Linked DNA regions of Elephas maximus indicus. The protein of the gene in region 1 interacts with the protein of each later gene in a pairwise test. Links are inferred from orthologs where the notes say so. Each region holds a gene or a part of one and is shown in the gene's direction. Other genes may lie near its edges. The genes, in order: ARFIP2, MAL2 and ARF3.

Region 1 (3,748 bases):
AAATGGTAGAAGTTCCAGAACACTCCAGAATTCTTACAAGTTTCATCTCCGTTCTATGTCACTAATTTCATAGGAGGTAGCACCTAGAAGCCCTGTGGTTTCTTGGTTATCTCCTGCCTTCCCTAGACTTGGCAGAATCCTTTCTTAAAAGATATAGTCCATGAAAAAACAGTTATGAACTAACACATACTTGGCTCACAAATGAGCCATTTCAGTCTCAAGGACAGCTAGACAGGGCTCATATTTTGTCATCTGGGCAGGAACCAACATCCTGTTGCTCACACCAACCTTAAAACTGTATCCACAGACCCTACTTTAACCAGGAGCCTGGGATACTGAGGTTTTCCTTCTCCACACAGAAGGCAACTTCTTGGCAGCCAGAGCTGAAGTTAATAGATATGCACTAACTGACAAAACAAATGATGGTGCCAATAAAGTGGGTTCCTCCCCTCCTCCCCCCCACCCCCCAATGAAACACAGTGAAAAAGCAGGTTTATTAGCTCCAGGAAAAGGAGCAAAGGTACCCATCTCTCAGGCTACTCCTCACGTTCTCTGTACAAGCTCTACTCAGCCCAAGGGTCCGTCCAGCCCCTCCCCTTCTGGGGTGGGAAACAGCTAGGTGCCAGATGGCGAGGCTCCAGGCCGTTCAGCAGCAACACCTGGCATGGCTGAGGCAGCCTCATAGTCTGCGATGCGGCGCTGTACCAGGGCAGGCATGAGCTTCACATAAGCGGCCATGAGACGGTGGTTGGAATGGATCAGCTTCCCAGCACAGCTGTGCAAACAGGCCTCCTAAAAAGAAGATAGGGTGGAAGTAGGGGCCAAAGGGGTCCTGTCAGGCCCCATCTCCTTCCTTCCCCAACCCCAGCCTAGGGGTGAAGGCCGTGAAAAGGCCAAGGCCAGAAGTGGAAATGAGTGGTGGGGTTGGGAAGCTGACTACCGTGAACTTTGAGGATCGAGGATAACCTCCCTAACCCTACTCAGGCCCCCACCTCCTCAGCGTCCAGAGCTCGGTGGTGCAGGCTGGGCACGCAGCGCTGGAAGCAGAGTTCTGTCATCCGATTGTAGACCAACAGGAAGTCCCGCAACTGCCGGTAAAAGGGACCAGGAACTCAGCGATAAGGTGTCCCTCAATTCAGCCCAGCCTCCCGGGGTTGCCCTGGGTCGCGCACCACAGCCTGAAGTTCTCAGCCCTCGGATCCCTGGCTCTTTGGGGTACCCGCGACGTTAACAGGCATGGGAGCTGAAGGTATGGCTCTGGAGCAACTTAATCCCGACTCACGTTTCTCAGCTGCTGCTGCGGCTCCATCACGCCGCCGCCGCCCGCCTACATCTCTTCCGTTTCAGCTTGAAAACACCCCGGAAGTAATCTCTGGCCGTTCCCCAAGGACTGAGGGGTTGGCTCAAGGATCGCCCTGCCCTCGGCAGCCAACGTCACTTCCGCCCTTATAATCTGCGACGTGGCCGGCTTCTTCTGCCCGGGAGGGGACGTCACTTCCGCCGAGTCCCTGACCTGCGGCTAGGATCGCGACGGGAACTGGAGCCCGAGGTCCCCGCGCCGCCCGGGTCTGGCGCCCTGAGGGGAAGAACGGCCCGGCCCGAGGTGAGAGGGACATACTTGGGCGAGAGGGAGTTGAACGCACAAACCTGAGGGCAAGATGCTCCTGAGCACTGGGGAAGGATGAGCGCACACCTGATGCCCAGGTGAATGGGGGAGGGGCGGGGACTCACACACCTGGGAAGACATAACTGACTTTGGAAGGGATCACTTATGTCCTGGAAGGAAGAGGCTTTTACCAGAGGCGGGAAACATACACCAACTGATTCAACTAAGGCCTGGTAGGGAGGGCCTGAGAAGGAGAAAGAGGTGCGTGGGATGGAGGAAGGAGCGACCACTTGAAGGAAGGGGGAAGAAACACTAAAGGAGTGGTAAAGGACAAGCAGTGCAGCACATACCTGAATGGCGAGTGGGCACCAGAGCCCTGGGAAGGGGTTCATCTCCTGGTGGGAGGAGGGGGGAAGACACACCTGAATGGAATAAGCTCCAAGAGGGCACAGACTTTATCTCTGTTGTTTACTGCTGTATTCCCAGGGCCTCAAATCGTGCCTGACACAATGCAGGCACTCATCTAGCATCTGTTGAATGAATGAATGATTACCTGAGTCCTGGTGGGCTTGGGAGGTTATGAGAAGACACCTGAGACCTAGGTGTGCATGTATAAAAATGTGCACCTTGGAGAGGATAAATTCATATATCTAGGGAAAGGAGTGGTAGCTGAACCCAGGACATGCTTAAGTGCTGGGGATAACCTCTAAAACCTCAGAAATGGCAAGAGAGGTCTTCCCCTTCTGGAGTGCTGGCAACTTCCCAAAACCACCTGTGTTGGGCTTTGCAGGGCCCAGGGGTGGAGACTTTGACTCCAGTCCCTGCCCCAGCCATGACGGACGGGATCTTAGGGAAGGCAGCCACAATGGAGATCCCTATTCACGGGAACGGTGAAGCTGGGCAGCTTCCTGAGGATGATGGGCTGGAGCAGGTGCTTTTCTTTGATTCTTCTCCTAATCAAATCCCAACTCAAACTCTGGGCTCTTATTCCATTCCAGTAGCCTTTCCCTTATCTAACTCCTGTCAATCTTTTTATAAATCTTCATTCTGATTCTGTGCAGATATCCCTTGCTCTCTCTGTGATGCTTCAATCCAACCTTGTTCCCACCCCCAAAATGATTCAGCTGCCCCTATGTTCCTGAAGCCTCCCTCTTCTCTGGCCTATAGGACCTCCAGCAGGTGATGGTGTCAGGACCCAACCTTAATGAAACCAGCATTGTGTCTGGTGGCTATGGGGGCTCTGGTGATGGACTCATCCCAACAGGTATGAATAATCAGAGACAAAAAGCTTGAGTCCACAGTGGGGACAGGAATGGTTCTGGGGAGCTTAGGATATGCCTAGGGACACTTGAATTATGTCTGGCGGTCTTGGGAACTCCTGCCAGTATGAACCCCAATGTATTCAGCCGAAGACCAGCTGCCAGCGTTGGCCTTCTGCTACCACTTGCTACTTAGCCCCTCAGATGCACCTTTTTATCCTTTTTCGACTGCCACCACCTGAGCCAGGTTAAGATGTCTAGTTCACAGGAGTTCCCTTGGTTTGGAGCTTAAGACTTATTTGGAACTTTGTGAGACTTCTCGGGGTTTTACTTCAGACTCTAAAGTTTAGAGGAACAAACAGCCCTGAACCTTACACAGACTGGGATTCCACATGGGAAAGTCACCAGGTTTCCTGTTACCAGATCCCATCATCATTGACCCCATCAGAAGATGGCCAGAGGAACTCATGGAGATGTATGCTGGGATTTAGGTCTTGGGGTGCAAGGTACTAGTTCCCCCTAGTGAGCAGGAGGATCTCATTGTGTCTGAAGCATTCAGCTGCTTCAGAGATGTCATTTTTATGTGCTGGGAGGGAAGTATGGATGGGGCCACAGAGGTGTCTGGTTGTATCTGAGAGAGGCTGGTGTCAGAGAACTTGGTCCTTTAGGGTCTGGCCGGCATCCATCTCACAGTGCCACTCCCACTGGCCCTGGAGATGAGGTGGCTCGGGGCATCGCTGGAGAGAAGTTTGACATCGTCAAGAAATGGGGCATCAACACATACAAGGTGGGACTCAAACAACTTTTCCTATCTTCCAAACTTCCTTGGGTACCCTTTTCCCTTCTCCCCAGACCCCAATGTCCCATCTATGGCTTAGACCAG
Region 2 (3,748 bases), on another chromosome or scaffold:
GTGATATCTAGGATACAAGTTATCTGTTTCTAAAGTACAATGGTGGAACAGGCACAAGATAGACATTTCCAGTACATATGGGAGAAATTGGAGGGAAAGAAGGGATAACCAGCGCCAAGCAAGTCCAAAACCCAGCAGAACAATTTACATGAGCTCTCTAAGGCTTGAAAATAATCCTCTGTTCTTGAGACCATCTAGGCAGTGGCCCCGTCCTCCACACTCTGGTGTTGGCCATGCTCTCTGGATTCTGGGTAGAGGCCCCTGGGCCCTGGGCTTCAGCTCCACCTTCCAGGTCCACTGGGAGGGCAATTCTGCTTGTCATCAGATAATATTTAAGGCGTCCCCATGAGTCTGGGGCACTGGACAGCAACTGACAACAACTGTCTTTGCTAAGCTCTTTTCTCATGTTATATCATCCAATCCACACGTTCTTTGAGGTAGGGACCTTCATCCCCACTTCACAGAAAAGGATACCAAAGGCGAGCAAAACAGCTAGTTACCTTCGGGGATCCAAAGCTAGGTGTTAGAGCTGTGAGGCATCGGACTCCAACGTGCCACGTTGCCTCAGTGGCGTTTTAAACCCTCCCCCCATGGCCTCATATAAAACGCATTCACCCTACTTTTTAGGTGTGGCTGGTGACTTCAATTTTACCTTCTGAGTCACAGACCCACAACCAGTCCTACCGTTGAATTGAGGAAAGGAGAAGGGACTGTAAAAGTTGGATGGAGGACAGGTGGAAGAGAACAGGTGGAACCAAGAGAACGGACAGAAGAGAAAATAAAGACCAGGCGGCCTTCAGAGGCTCCAGGGAGCGCAGGGTGGTGGCCCACGGGGGAGAGGGAAACAAGAACCTAGCACTGAGAATTGTGCCAGGCGACGGCCACACCTGTGCACGTGACCGCGCGGGCGCCGGGGCGGAGGCGCGCTCACCTGGGCCCACGTGACGGGGCGGGGCCGCCGCGAGTCGCAGCCCCGCGCGGCCACGCCCCCTCCCGCGCGGCGCGCCCGGACCCCGCGGACCCGAGCGGCGGCGGCGGCGGCGGCGGCGGCGGCGGCGGGAGCCCGGCCGGCGGAGGCGGGAGGCGGCGGAGACGGCTCGCGGAGACGCAGAAGTGGTAGCTGCAGCATGTCGGCCGGCGGAGCGTCAGTCCCGCCGCCCCCGAACCCCGCCGCGTCCTTCCCTTCGCCCCGGGTCACTCTGCCCGTCGGCTTTGACATCCTGCGAACCTACTCCGGCGCCTTCGTCTGCCTGGAGATTGTAAGTGGGGCAGCCTCGGTGCGGGGCGCACCGGGGGAGCGGGGACAGGCGCGGCATCCTTGTGTCTTGGCTCCCTCTACCTCCCCGAGCTTCCCTCCCCTCCATGTGGCCTTCCCTGCGTCCTCCCCCCAGGTCCTCGCCGTGTCCAGCGCAGCCGGAACCTGGCGGCGGCGCAGTCACCCGGGCCCTCTCGCCTGGCACCTGTTACGCTGGCACCTGCTCCTCCGCCGCTGGCAGGAATGGCCTTGAGAGAGGGAGCTGGCGGCCTGTTGAGGCCGAGGATTGGGGGCTTCTAGGGCAAAGGGGTGTTTGGACTTGGGGGCGCCGTCAGAGACCCACGGCGGCTTGGCCAGGGGCCACGCTTGGCTAGAGTCAGAGCAGGCGCTCTTGACCTCGCCTGTTGCTAACCTGCCATTTTGTTGGGTGGTGAGAAGTTGTAGTCGATGACTGGGTGACCAGAGGCTGCCAGGATCGGATAGAGGGGACGAGAGGCACCAGGAAGAGGAAAGAGAGGGCAGAAGACCTGGACGTGTCTTTTTTAAAATTTTTCCTTGCAATTTTTAGTGCCCTTTGGGTTGGGGAGAGGCGCGGGTTCAGGACGCAGGGCAGGGAGAAAGGTGAGGTATGTACATGCACTTGACAGTTCCCTAACCAAGTGGGCATGAGAATGGTGGAGGAAAGGTGGAAACGGGGCTGTCAAGTTCCTCGCTGCCGGCTGTTGCGCCTTCTTCCTTGTCTAAGCACACAGTTTCGCCCAGGTAGAGATGGGGTCACCAGGGCTGTCATGCAACCTCTTTAGACTAGATAGAAACTTTTTTTTTAAGTAATTTTGTAGAGCTGGACGCTTTTGAAGCTTATTGTGGACAAGGGGGAAGTGTGCAAATAAAAATTGGGCAACGAGCTTGCATCATGCCTTGAGAATGGCAAATAGTGAAATGTTAGGGAGTCTGCCTTTCCTGCAGGCTGGTTTTGTTTGCTCCGTTTGGGAGTTTTCATCTCTCCCTTCACCCCCTCCTTTGGGTTTGCATAACCTGGATTTGGGTCGCTTCGGTTTCACTTTTGGGCTGTGGGGCTGGAACACCTGGTGAGCATTGGTTTCCTGCCCTACTATGCTTAGATGGCTGAGGCATCGTATGTTAAGTTTAGCTCAGATTTGAATCTGCAAAAGGAGACACATATGAGTTACAGGCTAAGTCATCAGTAATGGCAACCTGACTGTGAGTCTAAGAAAGGCTGCTTTGAGTTTGAGCCCAGATCAGAAGCATCTAAATGCTTCTGATGACATCCAGGTGAGCGAGAGCAGGGCGATGTCATTCGGCTGGCTGAGCTGCTTGGGGAGGGAGACAAGCTAAAAAAATAGCAAGATCTGTGATGAAAAATTTTAAGAGCTCGGCCGCTTGAATCCGCCAGCAGCACCTTGGAAACCTACTACTCTGTCTTATAGGGTCTACTCTGTCCTGCAGGGTCCCTATGAGTCGGAATGTACTCAATAGTGGTGGGAATGGAGGCTGCCTTAGTCCTGTTGTTCCCCAAACTCCAGCTGTTTGCATACTTCTTTTATAAGTGTCTGCCATATCCGCATTCCAGTGTGCTAGAATTTACATAATGTTCACTTAAATAGACTCTACGGTACCCACCTTATCCTCATTCTAAGTGTTAATATACATGAAATCTCAAATTAGATATGCTGATTATATTTTTAGTACATATTCAAATATGTATATTTCTACATATTAAATCTGTATTCGTGTATCCACAGCTTATCTATATTTACATCTAGATATAGATATATGAATAAAGAAGGCTTATCCACGTGCCATCCAACCAAGAGCCACCTATGGTCATGTCACACTTTTGATAACAGTGCCTAACTCTGAGGGGAAAAACTGGAAGGTGGCTCATTCAACTTTCTCTTCCCCTGGGTGCCCATATTTCTTTTTGATCTAGCCTAGTGGTTGATTCTCGACTGCCCCTGTACCTAATCACTTGAACAGTTTTTAAAAATACAGTTGCCAGCCCCAGACTAATTTAATAAGAGTCCCTGGGGGTGTGCCCAGAGTCAGCTAGGCTTTTTTTTTTTGAAAGCTCCCCTGGAGATTCTGATTCACAGCCATGGCTCGAACCATAGATGGAGCTCTTCATCAAGACTCTATAGAGAAGACAGCTCTTCTCTTGCAAAGGTGAACTCTGTCATGTGCTAAAGCTGCTTTCCACTCCCCATCCTAGGAGGGATCCCAGTGTCCCAGAAGTATCCAGTCCATTCTCCTTATCTCTTCATTTCCTCTGGCTTCTTTCCCCTGAGACCAGAGCTTCAAACCCATTAATTTCCCAGTCCGGCCCCCTGCTGAGAATTTGGATTTCTCCGGTAGGTATACTGAATCGGAATCTACATTTTGACAATATCCCTCAGGTGATTCTTATATAGAATAAGTTTTGAGAACACTGCTATGCTAGTGGTTCTCGGAATTGGTCCCTAATCAGCAGTATTA
Region 3 (3,748 bases), on another chromosome or scaffold:
TTGATTTTTCCATAAAAGAACACGCTGATTGACACAGGTCAGGGATTTAGGTTCTTGGGTTCCATTATTTTAGTCCTTGATCAGTATTTCAGGATTCTCCATTTCCTGGGCCACTCTTTCTATTTAGTTAGCTCTATGTTAAATGTCCGCCTCTGAGTATCTGTTTCAGAATGCACTGTATTAAGGTCCAGATTGTGATATCTTTGTAATTCTCCATCTACCGCATCTGTTGCAAATATAGGTAGAGTACTAATAAAGCTTTTTGATAACAAAAAGACATGGGGAGCGTTTAGAAAGAGTCTCACGAATGTTTGGAAGCTTTGGTACGTAGTATGAGAAAGAACTGACTGAGGTGGGGATTTGACAAACGCATAAGAGCTTTGTAATAGACTTCTGCAAGGGATCTGCCACACCATATGCATCAGAAAGGACATGCTTCAAGATTTCAGGGATCCACCATTTTCAGCATATTCCTGAAGAAAGGTGAGATGGCTGGGTGTGGCAGTTCTCCTGGTACCTTTTAGAACTCCGTTACTGATGAGACCCTGGCATAACCTTTCCTTTATTAACTTATGTACAGGAGTGTCAAGCATGAATGTTTAAACTTTAGCCTGAGTTTAGAATGTAGTGGAGTATTTGTTCTCTGTTGCAGTGGTTTTTGTCCTTTCTTTTTTTTTAAGGCTTTGAAACTTTTCCTTAAATAAAATCTTGCTTTTGTTTATAAAATGGATAAAAGTGGAGCTGCTCTGGTGGTACTGGGGAGTTGGGAGAATAATTAGAGCCCTCATATGATTCCTCCTCCCCACCCAGGCAACCTCTGAATCCTGTCCAAGGAACCTAGGGCTCTGAGAACATGGAAACCACATCTCCAGTTTGTCACATACAGGAAAAGGACTGGGGATCATCTATAGAATTCTGTCTTTCTCAGCCTCTCAAATGCTTTGCCACCGTAATGAGAGCCATGCTGTTCAACAAGAAGCATGTCAATCACTAGCTACAGGTCAGTCATAGTGCTGGATCCCGGGGACACAAAATAGAATAAAGCATGGTCCCTGTTGGTAAGGGGCTCATAGTTTTAGTGAAGTACTTCCTAGCTTTTTCCCCGTCCTGGCATATGCAGAAAATAGTAATAGTGATGCACACACAGCTGCTTGAAACCTGAAATGACTGGCCCAAGGGCTCTAGCCATTCCATTCCCTGCCCAGCCATCTAGTAGCTGCTGGGATCAGTATCTCCACCTGACCTATAACACGTTAGAGGCACATTGTTTGGGAAACATCAGCTCTGGAGAGAGAAACAGACAAAGACGAATTAAACATACTATGGTAAGTCCTAGAGTAGAAGTGTGTTTGAGGTGCTGAGGGAGCCGACAACTCTTATTCCCCAAGGTAGGCAGTTTTCTGTTCATCCCTTTTTTTTTTTAAAACCCGTTGCCGTCGAATCAGTTCTGACTCAGTGACCCTACAGGACAGAGTACAACTGCCCCATAGAGTTTCCAGGGAATGGCTGGTGGATTCAGACAGCTGACCTTTTGGTTAGTAGCCGGGCTCTTGACCACTGTGCCCCCAGGGCTTCCCATATCCATAAACTATTCTATAATGGTTGGCCTTGTCCAGACCTTGGCTTCCTGTTTGATCTCTTTGCTGTCAGCTACCATCTTGACCTACTCTGGGGGACCAAATTGGAAATAAAGGTTTAGGGCTTTAGGCTAACTATGTTTGAATTTCAGTTGATTTTGCAATTGGGCAAGCACAGTTTTCTGGATAAGTAAGGCTATAGATGTGGGGATTGAAACAGCCATAGAATATCAGAAACAGTTGTAAACTGGTCAAATTCTCAGAATAGGACAAGCTGAAAGCTTTGGTCAGAGGGCAGTGCCACAGAATATTTTAAAGAAACAAATGAGTTTTTATCTGGTCATTGTTTCGTTTGGCTAGGCCAGGAATTCTGAAATAGACCCTGAATGCTCTCTCCTGACTCAGTTGCTGAGGGTTGTTCATGGAAAAGCTAGACCCTTCCCAGAGGGTTGAGTCTCCAACAGACAGGGACGTTCAGGATCCTCCTTTGCTTGGTAGCTGTGGCCTCCTTCAGGTGTTTCTGTTTTGGAGTCTTCTTGAGAACCCTTTTTGTCTCTGGTTAGGACTAGAAGGGAAACTGGCATAACATTTCTGGCCTGAGCCTGAACACTACTACTGTAATTGAGTTAAGCGGGGTCTAATTTTATTTGGATATGTTCTAGTTTATACCAAGGTCCTCATTGATTGCCTAGTAGTTCTGTAGGTTCCTTTCAGGCTTTATCTACAGCCTTTCACCCTCTCTCCTTTTTTATGCTGTTTCCTCACTGGTGCCTGTATATCTTGCCCTCTTGATTTCCCTTCTACCCATCTTATTTCGTAGTTTCATTCCTGGCTCTTTGTCTGCCCACTACTTTAACTGTTGATGTGTCCCAGGTTTCTACATTTGACCTTTTCTCCCATCCCACTGTATACACTCTATATCAGTTAGGATGTTTCAGGTGCAAAAGATAGAGAACACATATGTGGGTCAAACAATAATGGGATTTATTAAATCACATAACAAGTCTAGGGATAGACACTTCTTCTTTGTTTGATTTTTTAATCCACCAGCTTGACAATGTCATTAAGGACCCAAGTTTTCCCCTTTTTTCTGCTCTGACATCCTAGGGTTCTCATGTCTGTCCCCTCATGGTTTCAAGATTACTCCAGCAGCTCCAAGCATCATCCTTACATATCAACATCCAAAGGCTAGAGAGAAAACAGTGCCATATGTCCTTTTTTTAAGGTTGAGAAAAACTTTTCCAGATGCTTCCAGCAGACTTTTACCACATCTTATTGACTAGAATTAGTACATGCCCGTTCCTGACCCAATCCCTGGCAAGAGCAATGGAATGCCCAGATTCTTTAGGTTAATCGGTTCATTGCCTGGGCTAGAGAGAGGCCATCTTGCTTGCAGCACATCTCATATCCCCCCCCTCCATCATCTGAACAAAATAGAAATTCTATTAGAAGAGAGAAGGGGGAGAGAATGGCTGTTGGGGAGGCAGCCAATATTTGTTGCCACCCTAGGTTATCTTGGTTCCTCTTACAGTTTCAGTTACCATCTGCACAGATGATTCTCAAATACCCTGCCCAGACTTTTCTACTGAGCTTTGTACCTTAACGCCTCAAAATCAACGTTTAATATAAAAAAAAAAAAAAATCCCCCGCCCCCCCTCCGCCAGAACTCTTCCTTTTGTATTTTTTATCTGGGAAATGTCACCCACTCACCCAGGCCAGAAACCTGGGAGTTATCTTTGACTCTTCTTCCTTCTACATTTAATCAGTCATTAAATCCTGTGGCTTCTACCAAATGTTTCCAATCTGCCCTCTCCTCTCTAATGCCACCCCTAGTTAAGAACTCGTAATTTCTCATCTGTGTTACTGTTACCCAAGTGCTCTCTCTGCCTCTAGTCTTTCTCCCGTCTTATTCATTCCATAAACTGCTGCCAGAATGAGCTTTCTAAAGTACATACCTGAACATGTTACTCAGCCTGGTCTTTAAGGCTCTTTAAAATCTAGCCCTCCTGCTTATCTCTCCAGCATCATCCCTCATCACTTTTACTTACCATGCTGCATCCAAATAAACTACCTTCTATTTGCACCTGATTTTAGCTAATAAAGAGTTCTATCTCTAACTCAAGTCTCTTATGCCTTCTTTGCACATGCAATTCCCTGTCCCCCATTCCTTC

What was found.
Region 2: the proteins of ARFIP2 (region 1) and MAL2 interact in binary tests that used the Homo sapiens proteins (3 or more experiments, as listed by UniProt). The two-hybrid records come from large-scale screens. The link is inferred for Elephas maximus indicus from reciprocal best matches to the Homo sapiens genes ARFIP2 and MAL2.
Region 3: the proteins of ARFIP2 (region 1) and ARF3 interact in a two-hybrid assay, tested with the Homo sapiens proteins (2 studies listed by BioGRID and IntAct). The link is inferred for Elephas maximus indicus from reciprocal best matches to the Homo sapiens genes ARFIP2 and ARF3.

Annotation. Positions count from the first base shown.
Region 1 is NC_064825.1:60,136,321-60,140,068, reverse strand, and holds the start of ARFIP2 (arfaptin-2), read left to right. Parts: upstream 1-1,491; 5' UTR 1,492-1,704; intron 1,705-2,396; 5' UTR 2,397-2,438; coding exon 2,439-2,537; intron 2,538-2,773; coding exon 2,774-2,870; intron 2,871-3,533; coding exon 3,534-3,652; intron 3,653-3,748. Other genes in the region: TIMM10B (mitochondrial import inner membrane translocase subunit Tim10 B), read right to left, coding at 616-792, 993-1,088, 1,283-1,309. UniProt on the Homo sapiens protein: Plays a role in constitutive metalloproteinase (MMP) secretion from the trans Golgi network. May have important functions during vesicle biogenesis at certain cargo subdomains, which could be predominantly utilized by secreted MMPs, such as MMP7 and MMP2.
Region 2 is NC_064833.1:23,296,030-23,299,777, reverse strand, and holds the start of MAL2 (protein MAL2), read left to right. Parts: upstream 1-1,034; 5' UTR 1,035-1,127; coding exon 1,128-1,259; intron 1,260-3,748. UniProt on the Homo sapiens protein: Member of the machinery of polarized transport. Required for the indirect transcytotic route at the step of the egress of the transcytosing cargo from perinuclear endosomes in order for it to travel to the apical surface via a raft-dependent pathway.
Region 3 is NC_064822.1:104,375,853-104,379,600, reverse strand, and holds the start of ARF3 (ADP-ribosylation factor 3), read left to right. Parts: upstream 1-823; 5' UTR 824-936; coding exon 937-1,000; intron 1,001-3,748.